Linked DNA regions of Oryzias latipes. The protein of the gene in region 1 binds, or shares a complex with, the protein of each later gene. Links are inferred from orthologs where the notes say so. Each region holds a gene or a part of one and is shown in the gene's direction. Other genes may lie near its edges. The genes, in order: lamtor1, fnip1, flcn, lamtor4 and lamtor2.

The links.
Region 2: lamtor1 (region 1) and fnip1 share a complex: the UniProt entries of both Homo sapiens proteins name them as parts of the lysosomal folliculin complex. The link is inferred for Oryzias latipes from reciprocal best matches to the Homo sapiens genes LAMTOR1 and FNIP1.
Region 3: lamtor1 (region 1) and flcn share a complex: the UniProt entries of both Homo sapiens proteins name them as parts of the lysosomal folliculin complex. The link is inferred for Oryzias latipes from reciprocal best matches to the Homo sapiens genes LAMTOR1 and FLCN.
Region 4: lamtor1 (region 1) and lamtor4 share a complex: the UniProt entries of both Homo sapiens proteins name them as parts of the ragulator complex. The link is inferred for Oryzias latipes from reciprocal best matches to the Homo sapiens genes LAMTOR1 and LAMTOR4.
Region 5: lamtor1 (region 1) and lamtor2 share a complex: the UniProt entries of both Homo sapiens proteins name them as parts of the ragulator complex. The link is inferred for Oryzias latipes from reciprocal best matches to the Homo sapiens genes LAMTOR1 and LAMTOR2.

The regions. Positions count from the first base shown.
Region 1 is NC_019871.2:21,798,279-21,802,503, reverse strand, and holds the start of lamtor1 (ragulator complex protein LAMTOR1), read left to right. Parts: upstream 1-1,267; 5' UTR 1,268-1,553; coding exon 1,554-1,595; intron 1,596-2,732; coding exon 2,733-2,878; intron 2,879-2,973; coding exon 2,974-3,051; intron 3,052-3,483; coding exon 3,484-3,607; intron 3,608-4,225. UniProt on the Homo sapiens protein: Key component of the Ragulator complex, a multiprotein complex involved in amino acid sensing and activation of mTORC1, a signaling complex promoting cell growth in response to growth factors, energy levels, and amino acids.
Region 2 is NC_019872.2:4,897,047-4,900,815, reverse strand, and holds part of fnip1 (folliculin-interacting protein 1), read left to right. Parts: intron 1-956; coding exon 957-1,092; intron 1,093-2,074; coding exon 2,075-2,276; intron 2,277-2,519; coding exon 2,520-2,605; intron 2,606-3,769. UniProt on the Homo sapiens protein: Binding partner of the GTPase-activating protein FLCN: involved in the cellular response to amino acid availability by regulating the non-canonical mTORC1 signaling cascade controlling the MiT/TFE factors TFEB and TFE3.
Region 3 is NC_019874.2:19,461,949-19,466,411, reverse strand, and holds the start of flcn (folliculin), read left to right. Parts: upstream 1-1,468; 5' UTR 1,469-1,538; exon of another isoform or gene 1,539-1,656; intron 1,657-1,794; coding exon 1,795-2,007; intron 2,008-2,475; coding exon 2,476-2,622; intron 2,623-2,699; coding exon 2,700-2,921; intron 2,922-2,999; coding exon 3,000-3,166; intron 3,167-3,273; coding exon 3,274-3,365; intron 3,366-4,463. Other genes in the region: leng9 (leukocyte receptor cluster member 9), read right to left, coding at 826-958. UniProt on the Homo sapiens protein: Multi-functional protein, involved in both the cellular response to amino acid availability and in the regulation of glycolysis.
Region 4 is NC_019881.2:23,887,933-23,891,007, forward strand, and holds lamtor4 (ragulator complex protein LAMTOR4), read left to right. Parts: upstream 1-1,352; 5' UTR 1,353-1,458; coding exon 1,459-1,461; intron 1,462-1,534; coding exon 1,535-1,618; intron 1,619-1,680; coding exon 1,681-1,825; intron 1,826-1,890; coding exon 1,891-1,988; 3' UTR 1,989-2,349; downstream 2,350-3,075. Other genes in the region: ADP-ribosylation factor 4, read right to left, coding at 2,799-2,885. UniProt on the Homo sapiens protein: As part of the Ragulator complex it is involved in amino acid sensing and activation of mTORC1, a signaling complex promoting cell growth in response to growth factors, energy levels, and amino acids.
Region 5 is NC_019874.2:28,620,297-28,624,774, reverse strand, and holds the start of lamtor2 (ragulator complex protein LAMTOR2), read left to right. Parts: upstream 1-1,656; 5' UTR 1,657-1,802; coding exon 1,803-1,870; intron 1,871-2,486; coding exon 2,487-2,649; intron 2,650-3,599; coding exon 3,600-3,689; intron 3,690-4,478. UniProt on the Homo sapiens protein: As part of the Ragulator complex it is involved in amino acid sensing and activation of mTORC1, a signaling complex promoting cell growth in response to growth factors, energy levels, and amino acids.

The DNA.
Region 1 (4,225 bases):
GAAAATGTGTTTACTGTATATATTTCCTGTCCGCACTTATGTTTGGCTAACTATTTGTTTGTCTAACTATCTTCATTAATTATGACTGGTACATTTTTTCTTTTCTTTAATTTCTGTGAGGATTTTTATGAGTAAATGTGGATTTCCAAACATTCACTGTGAATATCTGAAATGGAGAACCTTAAATTTAACGCCCATTCATTGTCACACACCTAAATGACCACTAGAGGCTGGTTTCAGAATGAGGCAATTTCCCACTGACTCTCACATCTAAAAGTCGGACTTTAAAGCAAAATTTTATATTTCTATTGATTTATTTTTGTTCACCACAGGTGTGGAATATGTGGAGGTGTGTGTTTTTTTTTTGATTGGCAGGTAGTTGGACTTAGCAAAACTCCAACATTCTGAGCAAACTGTGGGTCTTTTTTAGTTGCAATTCGGATTCAGATTATCCCAAGCGGAGTTTTGTTATCCATTACTGTTCACTCAAAAATCCAACACTTCAGATTTCAAAAGTCAGTTATTAGATGAAACAAGAAAAAGAATACCTTTTTTCATCACTTCAGCAACAAAATAAATAATCCATCTGTCCGTCTGTCCATCCATTTTCTTTATCAGCGATATAAACGGGGCCTGTTCACCTGCTGTTGGTTCTGATAAATTATTTAACACTTAAAGGTCTTTTTTTTCAGCTCTGCTCAATTTTTTCCTTTGGCTTTTAAACAGATGACTGATTATTTTCAGCTAAAGCTCCTGAAGGTGGAATTCACCACAGATATTTATTTTTTCTTATCTTAAATAAATTTTGGAGGAAAACGAAGGTGTTAATATTTTTTATTTATTTAATAATTTTTATATATTGTAAAAATGATAGATTCAAGATTTATATGTATATTATAATACATAATTTAAAAACATTATACTATTTTTTATTACAAATATTGATGACATAATTGTTTATCAGATTTCATTAATTGCCTGGAACAAAAATAATATTATTTGTTTTAACCCTTGTGCTATCTTAGATGACCCCACCCTTACTTTGACGTGTTCTCCCTACCATGACAAAGGTGGATAAAGGTGGAAAGATTTCATGTAATTTATGGACACCAGTGAAGATCACAAATCATTGAAGAAAAAAGATTCAGCGCACTGTTTAGTCGGTCTAGATGACCCAGCTCCCAATGTTAAAATGCCTAGGATAGCACAAGGGTTAACGAAGCAAGGGGTGAGGGTTCTAATGGCACACGGCCCCGCCGAAGGGCGCCACTGTGCTTCTGCATGAAACAACCTGCATCACGTGACGAAGGCCGCAGCGGCTTCACGAGAACCGGAAGTAGAAGTTGAGTTGTTGTTGCAACACAGCTGCTGTCATGTGATAGCCTGTCTGAAAAGCTGCTGTGCTGCAGTAGCTTCCTGCTTCTTGATGTTGTTAAAGTAAAAGTCCACAGGAGAGGAATTTTATGTTTGTTGGAGACGGAGCGCGCGGCTCGTATCTGAAGGAGAACAGGGAAGCCGCGCATTGCTAGTTTGGCTCCTCAGACGCCGCCGCCATGGGTTGCTGTTACAGCAACGAGGACGAGAACACAAGTCAGGTAGTTAGCCGCTAGCTAACCACAACCCGATAACTGTACGGTGCTCGGTTCTGCCTTGTTTACCGTGGTATTTACTTTTTTTTAAAATTGATATTTAAATATAAAGAGGAAAACCTGCCCATGTAACTTCTAGTTTTGTGTCAGATATTTCTGTAACATCTAAAGCAATGTAGCTAACTCTAATGCAGGCCTAGCCCGGAGCTGATTTAGTAGCTTAAGTAAAGTAAACAAGTTGTATATCTGTTAATGTAAACATCTGGATTTCTTGTTAAAGTTTAGTGGTTTATATATACGAAATATTTACTTATCAAACAAATTCACGTCCTGCAGTTTGTTACGTAGATTATGTTCGTGCTGTTTAATCATGGGTTAGAAATCAATTGTGAGCTGTAGGCTGTACAGAATACATAACTAGACTTTTCCGTATTGTGTCTTGAAGAGTTCAGTGTCACATGATCATGCAGACTCCAAGCTATTTTAGTATAAGGAAACAAGTGTGACGTTCCTTTGTTACTGTAAATATGCCATCATAGTTGTAGTAAAATAACTGTTTAGCCCTCTATTTTTATTATTTTTGCAAAGCACATTAAACCAAACACGTAAATTGTTCTGTTAAAAGCATAGTGAAATTTAAAGTATAATTGATTTAGTTTAAACATTTCTCTATAATAAAACACACATTAGGTTTAATTAACATTATTTTTATTGATTTGTGTAAGGTCTGGTAGCATAACATGTACAAGTGGATGAAGGGTTTTTGTATTCGTATTTAAAGAATTAAAAGTTGAGATGAACTGTTTTCCGGTTAAGTGAAAAAGTTTCTTAAAATATTTAAAATGAAATGGTACTGGATAACCTAACACATGAAAAATAAATATCATAACAGACTTATTGTTCAGCACTAGCAAAGGTTGCAGAGATTTCTCTTAGTTGAAGAGTTTGTAATATGTTCACTTATTAAAAGTAAAAATGAGTAACTTGCTGCACACATGTCATCTACAGTCTTTTGTCCTGGTAAAATGGCATGCTTTCATTGTTGCAACTACTTCAGAAAACAGTTTTAAGACAGTATTTGTGACATTTTCATTCAGAAGTGTGTATAAATTGTCTGAATAGATGCTCTGCTACTTTTGCAAGGACCCTGATGAGATTAAGCCCCTTATCCCCCACCCAAACCCCATTAGCAAGCCTCCAAATGGGACAGACTGGATCAATCCTAGCGTCCCATCAGCGCGGACGGATGAGCAGGCCATTCTCACATCCATCCTGGTCAAGACAGCACAGTAAGGCACTTTTTATGTTTGGATAGGTCCAGAATGGGACTTTTGACACTATAGTCTCAAACGCAAGTAATGAAAATCTCTTTGTTGTGTTTGAGGAACATCATTGATGTCTCAGCAGCTGACTCTGTTGTTATGGAGCAGCATGAATACATGGACAAAGCCAAGCAATACAGGTATGTCTTTGAAGACTACTTATTCGTTACCAACTGAACTTTTGGCATGTGTAAGCCAATAATTTAAATTTATATTAAATTTGTAAACTGCAAGCCTCTGTATTGTAATTGGTTGAACAACTTTTATTCTGCAATATTTTGTATACATGGTTCGGATTTAGCAAAAAAAACAGTTTTATTCGTGGAATCTAAAGCAATTGAGGATGATGAGGTCTTTGTATCCTGAGGAAGTTGTGAAGGAGGTAATTTAACCACAAAATTGCTGCAGTGCTGGTGCTTCCCTATAAAAGCTGTTTAGACAAAACAGCTGTCAAGCTGTAAAAGGCAACCGCCGGTTATAGTGCAAAACTGTGCAGTCTGGTCGGACACAAGCGAGACCATTTGGGTTAATTTTTTTTGAAGCTGAACTTGTGTTTTTTTTTATGGTTCCAGTACAAAGTTGACTGCAGTGAGCACCAGCCTACCACAGAAGAAAGCACTAGCCCTCCCCTCACTCACTACCCAGCCCCACCAAGTGCTTGCAAGTGATCTGGTGTCATATTCAGATATTCAGCAGGTAACCACACTGACACGCACTTTAATCCATGTCCTTGAATCCATGTCCTGTTTGTCCTGCCTTGTTTTATGCTGTAAAACCAGGTGATTTGTTTAAAAAACAAAACAAAGACCCTATAAAAAAGTTGAGGTTTATCTTGGTTGTGTTTTGAAAATAAAAACAGAGTATTTTGAAATATTGTTGCATCAACCCATTTCTTCATCTAAACATTCAGAATTCTCCCCCTTAAAAATGTACAAATGGACAAAAAAAAGAAAACAAGTGATATTAATTACTAGACTCTCAGTTGAAATCGCATGTTACTTTCTGCTGAAGTATTAATATTAATTTTTTTTTTCATTATTATGATCAGTGCTTTATATTTTAAAATATTCTATTAGAAGTCTGTAATAGCGTTCTGATCATGCAGATTTTCAAAATCAAATGACTCAGAATCGGATTGGGGGCAAAAAAAAACCTCGTTGGGAGACGTCTCCGCTAAGTACTTCATGTGAAGAGTTGCTTTTTCTCTTTTAACTGTAAAGCTGAACGTTTGTAAGACATCTTTTAAAGAGCAAATACACAATTTTTGTTCAATTCTTCAATATTTGACTTGCTGCTTGTTGGGACTGCAAATGG
Region 2 (3,769 bases), on another chromosome or scaffold:
AAAGCGGGGAATGAAAGTGACTCAGGGATTTCCTCTCCATGTTGATGGGTGTAGGAGTGTGAAACTGTTTAGAGACATGGAGCCATGAAAAGTTTAAAGGATCTTCCCCCACAAAAGGCAGAGATAAACTTGAAGGAGAAGAGAGGGTGCTTGTATAAACCTCAATGAACTTGGAAACTTTGTCCCATGGAAACTGACCTTTATGCCCCCAGCTCTGCTCCCCCTCCCCAAACGTCACCATGTGTCATTGGCACGACTGGCATTGTGCTTTCTGTTTGAACACAGGTCACATGCGGAGGATTAAATATAGCAGCTCTCAAGCCTCCTACTACTAAATGAACTTTTCATTTAAGCCTCGTCCTTTGATCTCACCGCCTGCCACCCACTGCTCGCATGTTCCTTTTTTTAACCTAGTTTCCTCTTGCCTAGTAAAGTTTCCTGTAATAGATCTTACACTTATATTTATCACCATGTGATGTCATTAAGCTCCACAGACAAAAGATAACACACCTTTTTCACAGTTCATGTGACTGTTGCTCCGTGCCTTCTGGCTGGGTTGTAAATAACCTCGTGATCAGGGGCAATGTACTGCGTGTTGTCTTTATCATGCCAGGCCCTGGTGTAGAGCCAGATTTCCCAACACTTCCAGCATGTGACTGTTAATAGGGTAGATTATACCGGATTTCACATAAAAGCTGTTCAATAGTGAAAGGCTGGATTTGGAGGGGGAGTGTTTGGGTTTGTTTTATCGAGCTGCATTTCTTGTGAAGTGTCGTGTTTCATGAAGTGTGTCTGTCGTATTCTGCTCTGTCTGTGTGTGCATGAAGGATGTGTCATTGAGAGTGCGTAACCCCACGTACTCCCACGCACTCTTTTTTTTTTTTTACCGTTACCCACAACCCCCTAAATCATTTCTTCTGCTTCTCACCTCTGCCGTGTCTCTTGTATCCTTTCAGCCTCACTGAGCAGCCTCTTGATCACTCCTTTCCCGTCCCCCGGCTCCTCCTTAACCAGCAGCTGCGCCTCCAGCTATCAGCGCCGCTGGCTCCGCAGTCAAACTACAAGCCTGGAGAACGGCGTCTTTCCCCGGTGGTGAGGAATTATGGGAACAAACACGTTTTTAAGTCCTTTCACTAAAATAAACAGGATGAAAGTATCAAAAACTTCAAATGCACTGTAAAAATATTCTTAATTGTTTCTAATATGCAACCAATTGTTTAATTATTAAACTCATAAACTTGTTTATAGTTTTAATCATTACTAATATTATTTTGCATTAAGATTTTGGCATAAATGTTTAAGATGGAACATAAATAAATGAAGTTCTTGGATCACACCAGTCACATATTCTCCTTTTATGATGAAATAAAACCCATAGAGATTCATATTACTAACAGCATTTGATCTTTTTTTTTTTCCAACACCTTTCAAGATCCTAAAACTCTGCAAACTGCAAAGAGCTTCTGTTGAAGTCACACTGAGTATTTAAGGCCTTTTTGTGGCTTTTGTAAAGTCGACTGTGCTAAGACCTCCTCACAGTCGGCCAGGCGTTTGGGAACCAGACCAACGCTGATGTTGTATGCAGAGACTTTGTAGAAACACAGTGCTGCAGCAGAAAGGAAGTTCTTGGCCAGTAACTATAAACTCAGCTGTCAACATCTGCATGTGTTAACTGTTAAACCCTGGACAACCCAAGAACAATTTCTTTATAGGCCTTTAAAGTTAATTTCACAATTAGTTTTGTTTGTTATTTCAGTTTGTGCAGCAGTTGACATTGGCCAAAAAGAGGAAAAAAACCCATTTGAATAAAAAAAAGTGGGGGGGAAATAGAAATAAAAGGAAATATAAATACTAGTGAAAAATAAAAAAGCAAGAAAAAAATGAAATACATTTTTTTATTTTATTTACAGAAGCAGCCAAATTTGACCCCGTGGGTTCTCCGGGGTTAAATAAATCTTACTAAAAAAATCAAATTGGCTGTTGGGATTTTTAGCAAACACACGTCATGCTAGGATTTGTTTCTGCCTTAGCCCTTCTTTGGAAACTGAATCCCCGTCCACTGTCATGTGATCAGGTCAGTGGAGGAAAGCTTCAACATGTCTGACGAAAGTGGCGGTCCAAATCTCGGCGTTGCCCGGAAGAAGAAGATCGCCATTGGCGTTATTTTCACGCTGTCTCCCAACTCTGAGGAAAACAGCTACTTTCAGGAGTTCTTCTTCTCCCACTTCCCTCTCTTTGAGAGTCACATGAACAAACTCAAGAGCGCTATTGAGCAGGTCAGTGAATGTAAATGTTCTTCATCTAAACTCTAAAGCGTCACACTGATGGTTTAGTACCCTTGCCTTCCCTTTTACCCAGTACTATTGACTGTTGCTGTACTGTGTGCGGCTCTGGAAGAGTTCCCGTTTAGTGTTATCTTGCTTTCCTGCCCCTCTTCCTCTTCTCCCTCACAAGTGTCTCAGATTGACAGCTTTGGGGTTGTATATCTAGAGTTTCATCTGTGCATTTCCACTTTCAAGGCCATGAAGATGAGTCGGCGGTCAGCTGATGCCAGTCAGAGAGCTCTGGCCCACAGCCGAATGGTGGATGGACTGAACGAGTTCAGGTTAGCAGCTCCCTCAATTCATCATGAATATTCATTTAATTCATGTTGTGATACGTAGGAAAGATTTTCCAAATGCAACCACCCAAAAAACAAGATTCTTTGTCCTTTTCCTTTATATTGTCCATCCTCATATTTACCGAAGCTGGCAAAGAACAGGGGAATAATTAGCAATAAAAAGTGGTTTTCATTTCACATCAGAGGCTAACAAAATGTGCTGGATTTTGCTCGGCTCTCCTTAGTTAAAAAGAAATGTGCTGACAGTGAGAAGAGGTTAGTTCTGTTACTGTCAATCTGTTTCTGGGTAAGAAATCTTTAAAAATAGTTCAGAACGTTTCCACTTGACTTTGACACGACTGTTCTGCTAATGTGATGGAAATGTCTCTTTGGAGACGATGCAGATTTCAAGATTGAGGGGAGCTGAAGAGGAGATTCTGTTTTGGGTTCAAAAACTGTGAGGAATGTAGACTTGATAAATATTTGCATACGTGTCAGAAGTTCTGCCCTAAATCATATGATTACGGCTCTCAGCAAGCCCTCCCATATAAGTGCTGCACATGCCAGCCTCCAACTACTTTCACTTGCTCCTTTCCCACTGGCTGTCAGTTCCCTGTTTGAGGTCTGCGTTGCAGCAGTCATATGCCTGTTGACACCTGGCCTCAATAACCCAAGCTTCCCAAGTAGGAACCCTATCTACTGCAGAGTCTGGTCACAAGAAAGCACCAGAATAGTAAACAGTATGTGGGTGCCAGCAAGACTAACGCTGGTGCCCTGGGCTAAAAACGCTTGAAGAATCTCACCTCTAGACACCTAAATAGAAAGGTAGCCTCCTTTGCCATTAGGGGCTTTGACTTCACGGAACATTAGACGGGGAAACTGGAAGAAATTCTCTTGACTATTTATGATGATGTGGCATTGACGTTGGTAGAGGGTGGGCAGACGCACATGTCTGCAAAGATAAGCTGCACACATTGCAGAAGGACGGGGAACATAAAAGCCACTGCAGCCTGGGCTTGGGTTATGATGGGGTGTTGCAGCACAACTGAGAGTCCTGAGTCGTGGATTGATGCCCCAGGGTTAAAGCCCTGTCCCTTCTGACTACATGTATTTCAAAACCAGACACGCAGTGAACACCTATGAGCGAAGTAACCAGAAACCGTGCAGCTC
Region 3 (4,463 bases), on another chromosome or scaffold:
CACAGCAAAGATAACAGGAAAACATATGCAGTCAAGACTAAAAAACGAACTGATCAGATTTTTCATTTGAAAACTCATATGGTCATTATTGTTGCTCTTGGCATCCACACAAAGATCAGTCTGTGCGTCACAAATGATTAAATCTGCTCCTCTGCATTCCTCGCCCTGACATAAATGATATTATATTTGATTGTTCTAACCCTTCCATAGACATGGACCTCATAATTCATCTCCAGTGCACTAATCAGAGAGTAAACAACAGGTGGTAATAACCTAATCCCCCGTACAATAATGGGAAAGCTGACTCTCCCCGACGCTGAAGTTATTAAACTCCCTTCTGATATTACAGTTTACTGAAAGCAGCAGGGAGGTTTGTCTGTTCTGAGGAAATTTCCTTGTGACTTAAGGTTGGGGAGTAGGGGTGGGAGTGGGAGCAGACACCGATTCCTTTCCGTCTCTGGAGGTGGGAGTCTCTGGAGGTGGGAGTCTTCAGTCCTGACTCACTTGCTAAAAACCCAGACATGTTTCCAGGACATGAACACTGCAGGAAGTGAGGGGCTGGGGGTCCACTGCATTCTGCTCCCTTTTAAAGGGCCAGAGGCTCACACAAACACGCTGTCAGAACAAATTCCTTCCCAGAAACACTGCTATTGATGACTTGAACGCTGATAGCTTCTAAAAAATAATACTAATAATAATCTGGCATGGAGTTTGATTCCCCTAAAATCCTAATTAGATTTGAACAACATACCAATTTAGATTAACCAATTAGATTAACAGCAATAAGTACATACATGTTAAAAACACATAAAAATATGGTGTTACCATCGACATCAGTGGGCTTCTGGGTGTCAGCTGTTCCAACAGTTGGGTTATTGGTTGGTTCTGTGAGGGTCCCGCCACCATCTACCTGGCCCTCAGGTGAAAACGTGGGAGCCCCTGTCCCACGGGACGCCATGGTCACAAATGAAGGGCCCTGTTGCCTCGTTGAGGTAGTTTTACCTTTGACTGGTCAGTAAAAATAAACTGGACACACCCGGTTTTCTTTACTGTGTGTGGGAACACACGGAAGTGTCTAGTTTTTGGCGATTAAAAATAAACAATTTTAGAAATATTATTGTTTTTACAAAAAGCAGATATACTTAAACGCACTCAAAAATCAAAACCACGGTCACATATTTTGACATTTAAGCAGACTAGTAAGAAAATGCAGACTTCCAACTCAAATGTACTTTGACCTCAGTCTCGAGTGGACCTATGGGTAATGTAGTTAGTGTTCAATCGACTAGTCTTATTTTTGACTAAATGATTCTTGATTTCAGGAATGTAATCGTAAATTTTTAAAGAAAAATAATTGGAGAATTTATTTACATTTTCAAACGTCAAGAATTTGAGGTCCAAGAGTGCCAATGAACATAAAACTTGCTTAGACGCATCATTTCTGCTCGAGCGCGTGACTCCGCGTCATGTGACCCTTCTGTTGTTGTTTGCTAGCAGTTCCCGGTGACAAACGAAAAGCGTAACTTGTTGACTTATTGGTGAGTTTTTTAGTTTAAAAAAACGACCCGAAACATGTTTTTTGTATTTTTAAACTAAAAAGCCATGGCTGTTCCATAAAAGTCGTTTTGAGCAGCATTTAGCTCGACTCCGCTGAAGGTAAGAAGAACTCTCTATGATTGACTTGTAACGTCACAAACTGTTAGGAGACATACAGTCTACCTGTAAATATCTGTTTGTAGTCAAAACGGCAATGAATGTTAAATTATTGATGGATTCGTGTGTTCTCCATTTCAGATGAATGCGCTGGTAGCTCTGTGTCACTTCTGTGAGCTCCATGGCCCCCGGACCCTCTTCTGCACAGAAGCCCTGCATCCCCCATCCCCAGACCCGTCCTCCCAGACTGGTACCCCGGTGCCAGGAGACAGAGATAGAGATGGGGACCGTGAGGGTGAAGGTCTCACCATGAGGGCCAACAGCTCTACTACACCTAGAGGAGAGATGTGTGAGGTCAGTTTATCACGCTCTTGGCACCTGGACCTTAAAGTCCCACTCCGATCATCTATTTTCAAAACGTTCCCAGTGGCCTTTTAATTATGATTGTGCTGTTGGGGGGGGGGGGTTGGTAGTAAGCCTGCATGCAAGCCTGTTTGTTTACTTGTTTACGGCCCCTGTAATTGACCCCCATTCTAACATTCCCTGTGCAACAAAATGCCGACCAATATTGGAGCTAACCAGCCGTACAGTTTGGACGAGGAAAGCAAAGACTGAAGACGAATACAGAAATACGCAGAGAGGCAATTTGAAGCTTAATTTTCTTTATACATTCTATCATCAGAAAAATGGCACAAACACACGTTAAAAACAACAGAAACATAATTTTCATTGGAGTGGGTCTCTAAAGAGAACTTATCGGCTGGTAATCCATTTCCCACATGTCATTTTCTGTTTTTTTCTTTTTCTTTAACACCTTCTTAGGGATGCAGATCTCTGCCTGCATCTCACCCTGGCTTTGTGAGCTTCGATGATGAAACAGGAATTCGATTTCTGAGCCATCAGCATCCCAGGCAGCCGCAGCTTTTTAGCATGGTGCGCCAAGCCTGTGTACGCAGCCTCAGCTGTGAGGTAAACTTTGCTTAAACGATGTCTGCTCTCATTTTTGGCCCTAATTTCCGACCCAGTTTTCTCTGTTTTTGCCTCAGGTGTGTCCTGGACGTGAAGGACCGATATTTTTTGGAGACGAGCAACAGGGGTTTGTGTTTTCGCACACCTTTTTTATTAAAGACAGCCTGGCCAGAGGATTCCAGCGTTGGTACAGCATCGTTATTGTAGCCATGGACAGGATCTACCTCATCAATTCTTGGCCTTTCCTGTTACGTCACCTAAAGCTCACCATACACAGCCTGCAGAGCACAGCTCTAAAAGTAGGCCACAAAAACAAACAACCCCTTTGTTGATTCTGTATTGAGCTTAATTGACCGAACACATTTTTCTTTTATTAGGTATTTGACAGTGAGCAGGGGGTTTGCCCTCATCGAGCCATGCGGATCAACAATGCATTTTCCCCCGCAGTCTTTCCACACCAAAGAAGTGGGAACGCCGCCCGATCACTGACCTCTCTCACACAGCATCCCAATCTCTGGGCCAGCCTGCACTCTTCTTTTAGCTGGTGAGACAGTTGACCCGGCGTCACTCTGTCATTACTCCCCTTTAGGCTGATTTGTAGCTTCTCAGCTGTCAATAATGATTTGGGTCTTCACACCCTTCTTTCTGCAGGTTGCTAAAAGCCTGTGGGAGCCGACTGACGGAGAAGCTTCTTGAAGGTGCCCCCACAGAGGACACACTGGTGCTTATAGAAAGACGAACAGGTAAGCATGACGTCCAGGGCTACAAAACTGTTTGTGTCTGATCACACTAGAAGATTTCCTTCTTAAAACAAATAAGAAATATATAAAATATAGGATGCCTTTCCCTTGTTATAAAAGAAAAAAATCTGCCTATGGAACTAGTAGAATTTGTCTTGGTAAGATTTCTCAAAAAAGTTTTGATCTCCCGCCCTTTTTAAGACTAATTAAATGATGACTTTAGCTATAAATACTCATATTTAGGTTTATTGCTCTTAAAATGGGAAATATTAGGTCTTGAACTAAGCCTGATTTTCTTAAAAAAAAGTTTTATACCTATAAAGTAGGTATATTTGTACACTTTTCTTCCCCCCCAAATATGTCTTATGTCAAGCAACAGTCCAACAAATCATCCTGAAATAAGACTAGAATTACACATTTTAAGATCCATTTGTATTAAGGATTATTTAAAAAACACATATGAAACAAAACCACTCACCAGACAAATAAAACTTCAACTGAAAAATATTATATAAAGAGGAAAAAATGTGTTTTATTAATGATATTCATATAAAAACGAGATGTTTTCGAGATCAACTTACTCAACAAGATATTCAAAATGTATTGCCTTAAAACAAATTGGGTCTTTTATTTAGTTCAGGGGTCTGCAACCTTTAAGGGTTAAAGAGACATTTGGTCCAACTTCAAACTGACCAAAACCCACCGAGAAGTCCCACTGTTTTACAAAAATAAACTTTATTTATGTTTTTTGTGCCCATTAAGCCATTTATCTATGAAATTAGATTTAATTATGTACAAGAATAGAATTACATCACTTTACTTTTGACAGCTGCACATTAAAAAGTCCTTTCAAAATAAAATGACAACCCCCCCTGCTGCAGCAGATTTACTTAAATTAAAATGCAAGAAAGTCAAGTCAAACATGGTGCTTTCTGTTATTATGACTGTGGTATACCTTCATCCTGTTTATTTCATTTCACTATTCAATACATGATAATGACGTAGAATCCAATTGTTTTTACAAATCTATATATGTAAATGCAGTTGGACTTTATATAATTTAAGAACATTGTCTCTGAGCAGCACCTGGACATGTATTAA
Region 4 (3,075 bases), on another chromosome or scaffold:
CTTCAGCTGTCTTCATACATTTCTTCTGTAATACAGTTAAAACTCTGTATGCTAATGCTAACTGTTCTGTCAAACTAAAAAATGCCCCCCCCCAGATTCAATCCCAATAGAGGAATCAGATGGGGGGGGGGGTCCTATTTCACCGTATCTTTTTCTTCTAGTTACCCAAACTCTTGCTGATTGTATCAATATTCATAAATTAAAAGGCGTCTCAGTTCTTAATAAAGAAATGTTAATGAGTCAGTTTGCTGATGACACGACTCTCTTCTTCAGAGACAGCAGTCAGGTTTCCTGATCTCTGAACCGTATCCAGTCTGTCTCTGATGTCTCAGGTCTACGTCTCAGTCTGAACAAATAAGAACTTCTTTCTGTTGAAGATTGTGCTTTAGAATCTGCAACAGTCCTGTAATAGAAACTGTAACATATTTAGGCGTTAATATTTCCAAAAGTAGTTTAGAAAGATGCTCATTAAATTTCCCTCCCCCTCATTGATGAAGCCAAAAAACGTTTGAACCAAAGGCTTCAGAGAGACCAGAGTCTGAGGAAGGATTCACTCTCCACAGCAGAGGGGATTTCTAGACTGACTAATTCTGGACAATCAGACTCTGAAATCTATTGATCAAATGCTGCTAAACTTCATCTGGAAAAACCGGATTCATTATTTAAAAAATCTGTATTAATGAACTCCTATGAAAAAGGAGGCCTAAATTTTCTTGATCTTACTACTTTAAATAATACTTTTAAAATAAACTGGATGATATTTCAAAAATCCACTCTCCATTTGGAATATTTTCCCTCGTCACATGTTTGCTAAAGTAGCTTTTCTCCATTTTCTTCTGCTTTGTGATTATAATATCGACAGAATCCCAGTGAAAATCTCTGCTTTTCACAGATTCTTCTTTCTTATCTATAAACACAACTTTTCTCCTCATAAGTTTTTTATTTGGAATAACAGAGATATCCTTTACAAGAACAAATCTTTATTTTACAATCATTGGTTTGACAATAATATCCTACTGGGGACGCCGTTCCTACTGAATCTGTGAACTCTTTAAAAATACTGTACTTGATGCAAATATTCCCTTCATGTCTCTAAGTGACACTAATGTTGGAAAATCTTGTTTCAACTAAAGAATAACAAGATCATCCGTGTTTCAGCTAAACGTCATTTCTGTTCCTCTGCTGTTTTCTATTGGAGAACATTTATTCCTGACTCGTCCTGGAAAAATGTTTGGACCCTGAATCAGAAATGATTAATTAATAACAAGATGAGAGACGTCTGCTACAAACGTCTACATAGAATCTACCCCATAATCAATACATGCTCAGATAGAAGAAAACTATTGACTAAGTAAACAGGAAGTGTAGCGAAACAGACCGGAAGTCGCTTGGAAGGCCTGAAAGGCACCGCCCACCAGCCTACGTCAGCAGTCACGTGAAGGATCATCTTCCGGAAGAATGGTGAGTTCGCTCTCTGTCTCCGTGCCGCTTTTCCGAACCGAACCTCACCGAACCTCACGTGTGTTGTGTGCAGAGCACGGCGGCGCTGACGGCGGGTCTGGACCGGATCCCGGACCAGCTCGGGTACTTGGTGATCAGCGAGGACGGAGTTCTGGCGGTAAGTAGTATCCGGGCCCAGCTTTGTTACCGAACCGAACCTGAGCAGGCTCACCTGTGCAGTCGGCAGGTGAGCTGGAGAACGACGAGCACACGGCGAGCGTCATAATGCAGATGGTCCGGACCGCGAACCGCTTCCGGTTATCTGGATCTGCGGACCACTTCCGGTCACCCGGATCCGAGGACGTCCCGTTTAAGCGCATGTCCGGTAAGTCACACCTGACAGGTGAGCTCGGCTGGTGATGCCCCGCCCTGACTCGGTTCTGTTCGCAGTGGTTCTGGAGGACTTCGTCTTGGCGGTGACCGTTTCCGGTCAGAAGGTGTTTGTGGTCAAACGTCAGCACGCGCATCCTGAGCACGTCACAGCGTGAAGGCGGGGCCAGGCGGAGAGGACGACAGTCCACCTTTGGACCGAGTCGGAACCGACTTGCTCAGTAATGAACTGATGTGACCCACCAATCGCACAGAACTGGAGCAAGTTCTCTAAACAGTTTCGGTTCTGTTTGGATCATTGGACAGAACCCAGTTACGTTTAGGTTCTGGACCTTTACAGAACAAGGTCAGCTACAGTGGTTCTGAAGGCAGAGCGGAAGACCGATCCTGCAAAGGTTCTGCTGCATGTTTTGGATTCTGAAATAAAATCTTCATCTCCCAAAGAAACCAGATTTTCTGTCAGAACTTGTCATTTAAATAAAGTTTTAATGTTTTGAAAACTGATTCAAATAAACATACGAAAACCTGAAGTTTGTCTGATCCTTAACCAGATTCAGTTCTGAGACCGGTCTGGTCTAGAGTCTGCAGGTTCTGGTTCAGAACAAAGCCCACCAGCGTGACAAGAAAAAGCTTTATTGCGTCATCTTCTTCATCTCTTCTTCACATTAGGCAGGAATGACGGGGGCGCCGGTCCGGCTGTGGAATGACTCGTCACCTGCCCAGGTAGCTCTCACCTGCCCCAAGCCCCACCCCTCTCCCAAAACATCCTGTCACATGATCTGGATTTAAAACATGCGCATAAAAGAACAAACACCGGCAGAAGAAGAAGAGGATGATGGGAAACCTCAGAGTCTGTGACATCACTTCCTTCTACAGCTATAATTTAAAAAAAGAAAAAAAAAACAGGAACAGTCTGGCGGAAGGCTCCTCCTCTTCCTCTGTACACGGTGACATCATCAGTCAGCTGCTTAGCGTTTGGACAACTCATTGGACAGCCAGTCCAGCCCCTCGTACAGACCGGTCCCCTGAGTGGCACAGGTGGCCTGGACGTGCCACTGCAACACACAAACACACACATGTCAGGAGGAGCGGTTCTGACCCACGTCTGCTTAAGATCCCCCCCCATGGTTCTGGCTCCATAAGTCAGGGGGGCCAAAGGGGTGGAGCTGTTCTGACCCACGTCTGCTTAAGCCCCCCCCCCCCCCCCATGGTTCTGGCTCCATGAGTCAGGGGGCCAAAGGGGTG
Region 5 (4,478 bases), on another chromosome or scaffold:
TCGTTGGCCGAAATCCTCTACAGATCTGTGCCCATTGACAAATGAATGAATTACGTTTATCACATATGTTTCACAAAAGACAGAACTTAAGCAAAATGTGTGACATGGCCTTAACCCTTGTGTTATCTTAGATGACCCCACCCTTACATTGACGTGTTCTCCCTGCCATGACAAAGGTGGATAAAGGTGGAAAGATTTCATGTAATCCATGGACACCAGTGAAGATCACAAATCATTGAAGAAAAAAGGTTCAGAGCACTTCTAGTGGGTCTACATGACCTAACTCTCTGTGTTAAAGTGCCTATGATAGCACAAGGGTTAATGTTCTGATAATGAAATAAAATGTATTTTCTGCCATTTTATAAAGGTGTATTAGTATTCACTCAAAGTTTTGCAAATTCATACTCTTTTTAAAATTGGTGATATTTAGCCTTTCTTGCAGCCACACTGTACATACTGATTAGATTTTTTTTGTAATTTCTTTTCTCCAAAAGACACTTTTATTCGTCATCATCATTTGTCCTTTCAGTTGCAGAGACTAGAATAGAAAAAACTGATTTTTTGACCTTTCATCTAAACTTCAGAGGTGTCAGAATGACCTCAAAGAGTTTTACTATAAATTTAAAGAGTTAACTTTTTTGTCACATATCTAGAAGGAAATGTGTTTATTTCCTTCTGCCAAAATGAGACTACATCCTCTCTGATTTTACACCACGTCTGTAGCTTTCAATGGTTGACGGTATAAACAAAACTGTAAACGGATGCACTTGTGTGACTATAATTTTACCAAAACACATATCAGAGAATACATATTAACCATGCACTCATGTACCATAGCAGTTACAGCATGGAATCAAATCAACTTTTGTTTATACAAATGATTGGTTTGTGTCTTTTTTATAAGTGTGTCCACTCAAACACAACAGATTTACCTCTTAGAACAAAATCCTCTTCTTACAGACAAAAAAAAAACAATAATATCCTCGGCCCGATCACTTTTTCTGATGTCCAAAGGGCAGGAGGGAAACGATTCTGCCAAACACTTTGCGCAAACATGTCCTCCCACCAGGAAGCCAGCAGACAATAAAAACCTCAAAGCAGACTAACCTTTACTGTAAGGAGGAGTGTCAAAAGATTTAAATAACACTTCTTTGGTTGAAGTAGAATAAAAAGTACACTTCTTTGAAGCATAAAATCTTTGAGATAAAAACTCTAAATATGACAAAGGAGATGAATCAAGGAGGTGAAGTTTTCGTCGTTCACTGAAGCAAACTATATTTCCCATGATACATTTCCAAAGAACTGGTCATATTCTAGCAGCTCTAATAGGTGTGAGTGTGAATGGGAGTGTGATTGTGGCCCTGCGACAGACTGGCAATCTGTCCAGGGTGTCCCCTGCCTTCACCCACAAGTGGCCGGGATAGGCTCCAGCAGCCCCGTGACCCAGAAATGGACAAAACGGAGGAAGATGAATGAATGGCCATATTCCAGTTCTCAAAAATGTTTACAGACTACATGGGAAAGTAATTTAAAACAAAAAGATTTGTGAAAAAATCAGGAATAATTAAAAATTTAAAAATAAAGTTTAAAGAAAAACATAATAAATATAAATAGGAAACATGTATTTGGATATAACTGCAATTCCCATGATGCATCTCTAAATGTACCGGAAAAGGAAACAGAAGAAGAATCGAGTCAGCTGACTTTGCTCTGTTATTGAGCAGTTCTCTCTTCTTTTTTAAGCCCCGTGTTTATTCAGTCAGATCATTTTTCTGGGTTTTTTCTCCTGAGAGAGGTCGGCCATGTTGCGACCCAAAGCGCTGACGCAAGTTCTCAGCCAGGCGAACACGAACGGCGTCCAGAGCACCCTGTGAGTACCGCGAGCTAGCAGGCTAACATCCAGCTAGCTAGCAGCGGTTTGTTTGCGTCTAGCTCCTTAGAACTCTTAAAGCTCCCCTGAAACGACACGTTTATATAATTATTACTTCACCAACTTAATACTACTTTTACATTTTCATTATTTATTGCAATAAATACAAATATATTTTTTCAAGATTTGTTTTCCGCTGTTAAATCAAATACAGTTTTACACGAATTTCAAGCAGTTGAATTTTGATTTCAAAATAAGAGTCTTTTTAAAATATATTTGGTTCGTTTTTATTTTTGCTTAGAAAGTCTGTTCAGGGTACAAAATATCATTATCAGGTAGAAAAAAAGCAAAAAAAATCGATTTACATTTAAAAAGTGGTGTGGGAAAATAAGTAATCTGTAATGTTTGATGTAGATCTGTTTGATATAGATCTGTTCATCGTTTTAGCCATTTTGCATCAATCGATCAATTTCTGTCCTGGAGACCTCCTGACAAAATTACTTGGTTTTCATGGTTTGAAAACGGAATGGCGTTTGTCTTAAAACTTTGTCACTGTAACTTTTCATCATTGTGTTGTTTTTGTGTGTAATGAACAACCGTCTCTCTGTGCGAGCAGCCTACTGAACAACGAAGGCTCCCTCCTGGCGTACTCCGGTTACGGCGACACAGACGCTCGAGTGACCGCTGCCATCGCCAGCAACATCTGGGCCGCCTACGACAAGAACGGCCACCAGGCCTTCAACGAGGACAAACTCAAGTTCATCCTCATGGACTGCATGGTGGGAACTTTCTCCTTGTTTTCCTTCAGCCCTTTTGTTGAAGTTAGATTCTATGAATGCCCCAACATCTCTGAAGGGGTCTGCAATTTGAGGCATCACAGCTGTTTTTTTTCCCCCTCCATTGTGACTTTAAAGAAAAAATGTGTATTATTTAAATAAAATAATGTGTTTGTAGTTTTGCTTTAGCATGCATACATGGTGGCACCTGTTCAGTCTGGTCTGTTTCAAACGGGACCAAATGGCTCTTTTAATGTTGTACAAAATATGAATAATGGGACTTGAGCAAACCTTCAGATATGGAAGGAGCTGGCTCTTGATACCAATAGCACCACAGGAAGACACCAAACACACACTCCTTGTACTCCTTGCCCATTTTTTTTTGCCCCGCTCTACAGTTTTGTAAACATTGCTCAAGTCAAACGTGTCAACGTCCTGCATCATTTTTCTCATGATACATAAATAATCTTCGCTCATGCAAACAACCAGATGATTTTCTTATTTCTAACTTCCAGCTCTGAGGCAAAATGTTTAACTTAATTCCCGAAAATCAGCGAATCCACACAGTAAAACCCCCACTCTGCCTTAGGAGGAGGGGCTTTGTGGAGAGTCTTGCTCTGTAGATGGAGGGGAAACCTGCTGCATTTGGTCGCATAAAAAAAGCTGAGATCCATTCTTTCAAACCTGTGATTCAGTTCGATTTGCGCCTCATCGCCCCTTATTCAGTAATAATTCATGTCTGCACATTAGCTGAGAGCTGCTGAACTGAGTGAAGGTCAGGCTTACATAAATACTGTCGTAAATCTGAGCATCGCAAACTAACAGCAAAGCAGTGTTCTGTGAGAAATCCATCTGACTTAGTGGATTTATGATTGGAAGTTACAACCTGTAAAGAAAAGTGACTTTTAGTCTTTGGACTCGACCAATAAAAAGGCTTTTTTTTTTTTTCTCAGGAAGGGAGAGTGGCCATAACGCATGTGGCTAACCTGCTGCTTTGCATGTACGCCAAAGAGACGGTGGGCTTCGGGATGCTGAAAGCAAAGGTGAGGGCGCTGCTTCCTCACATGGGTCTTCATCAGCTGTGGTTCCTCAACGAGTCCCGATTCCTGACCCCACAAGTTCAGTTCAACCAAGGACATTTATTCACTCGTTTATTCATTCACTCTCCTCTATGTAGTTTAGTGGAAGTGAAGCATATTTCAGATCAAATTCCGATTCCAAGTTATTGGATTTGGAGTTGCTGCCGATACCGAGTTCCGATCTGTTACTGTCGTAGCACATCCAAAAAAAAATGACAAACTTAATAAACAGATCAACATTTTCCAAATTTTTAAAATTTTATTAAGCTTCTTTTAGCATTTTACACGTAAACAGAGCACTTCTGGGAAGTATCTTCAACAATCAAGGAAAAGTAATGCAATTATCAAATAGAAAAAATAGTTAACTATAAACTAGTACAAACTTGTTAATAGTTAACTAGTCAAAATAGGTTAATTAGCCCTATGAGAAAGTTTGGTGACTGTAGCCTTAACATCTTCAGAACTGTTGAACATTTTTGATCAGATGTGATTCATTTCCCTGTTATAATATCAAATAATCAATTTCCAAATTCATCGTTGTAGCATAATTATGATGAGTATTTGTGACTTTCAACAGAACCATTGACTAATCGTTAGTATTTTTATTATTATTATTATTATTATTATTATTATTATGTATTTATTTATCTTGGTCTATTTTTCCCAGAACTTGCACTTTGTAGGCGGTCCCTTATCAGCCCACCATCAGTTTCATTCTCTTGAAAAGAATGAAAAAAAGAGCAATTTTTATTT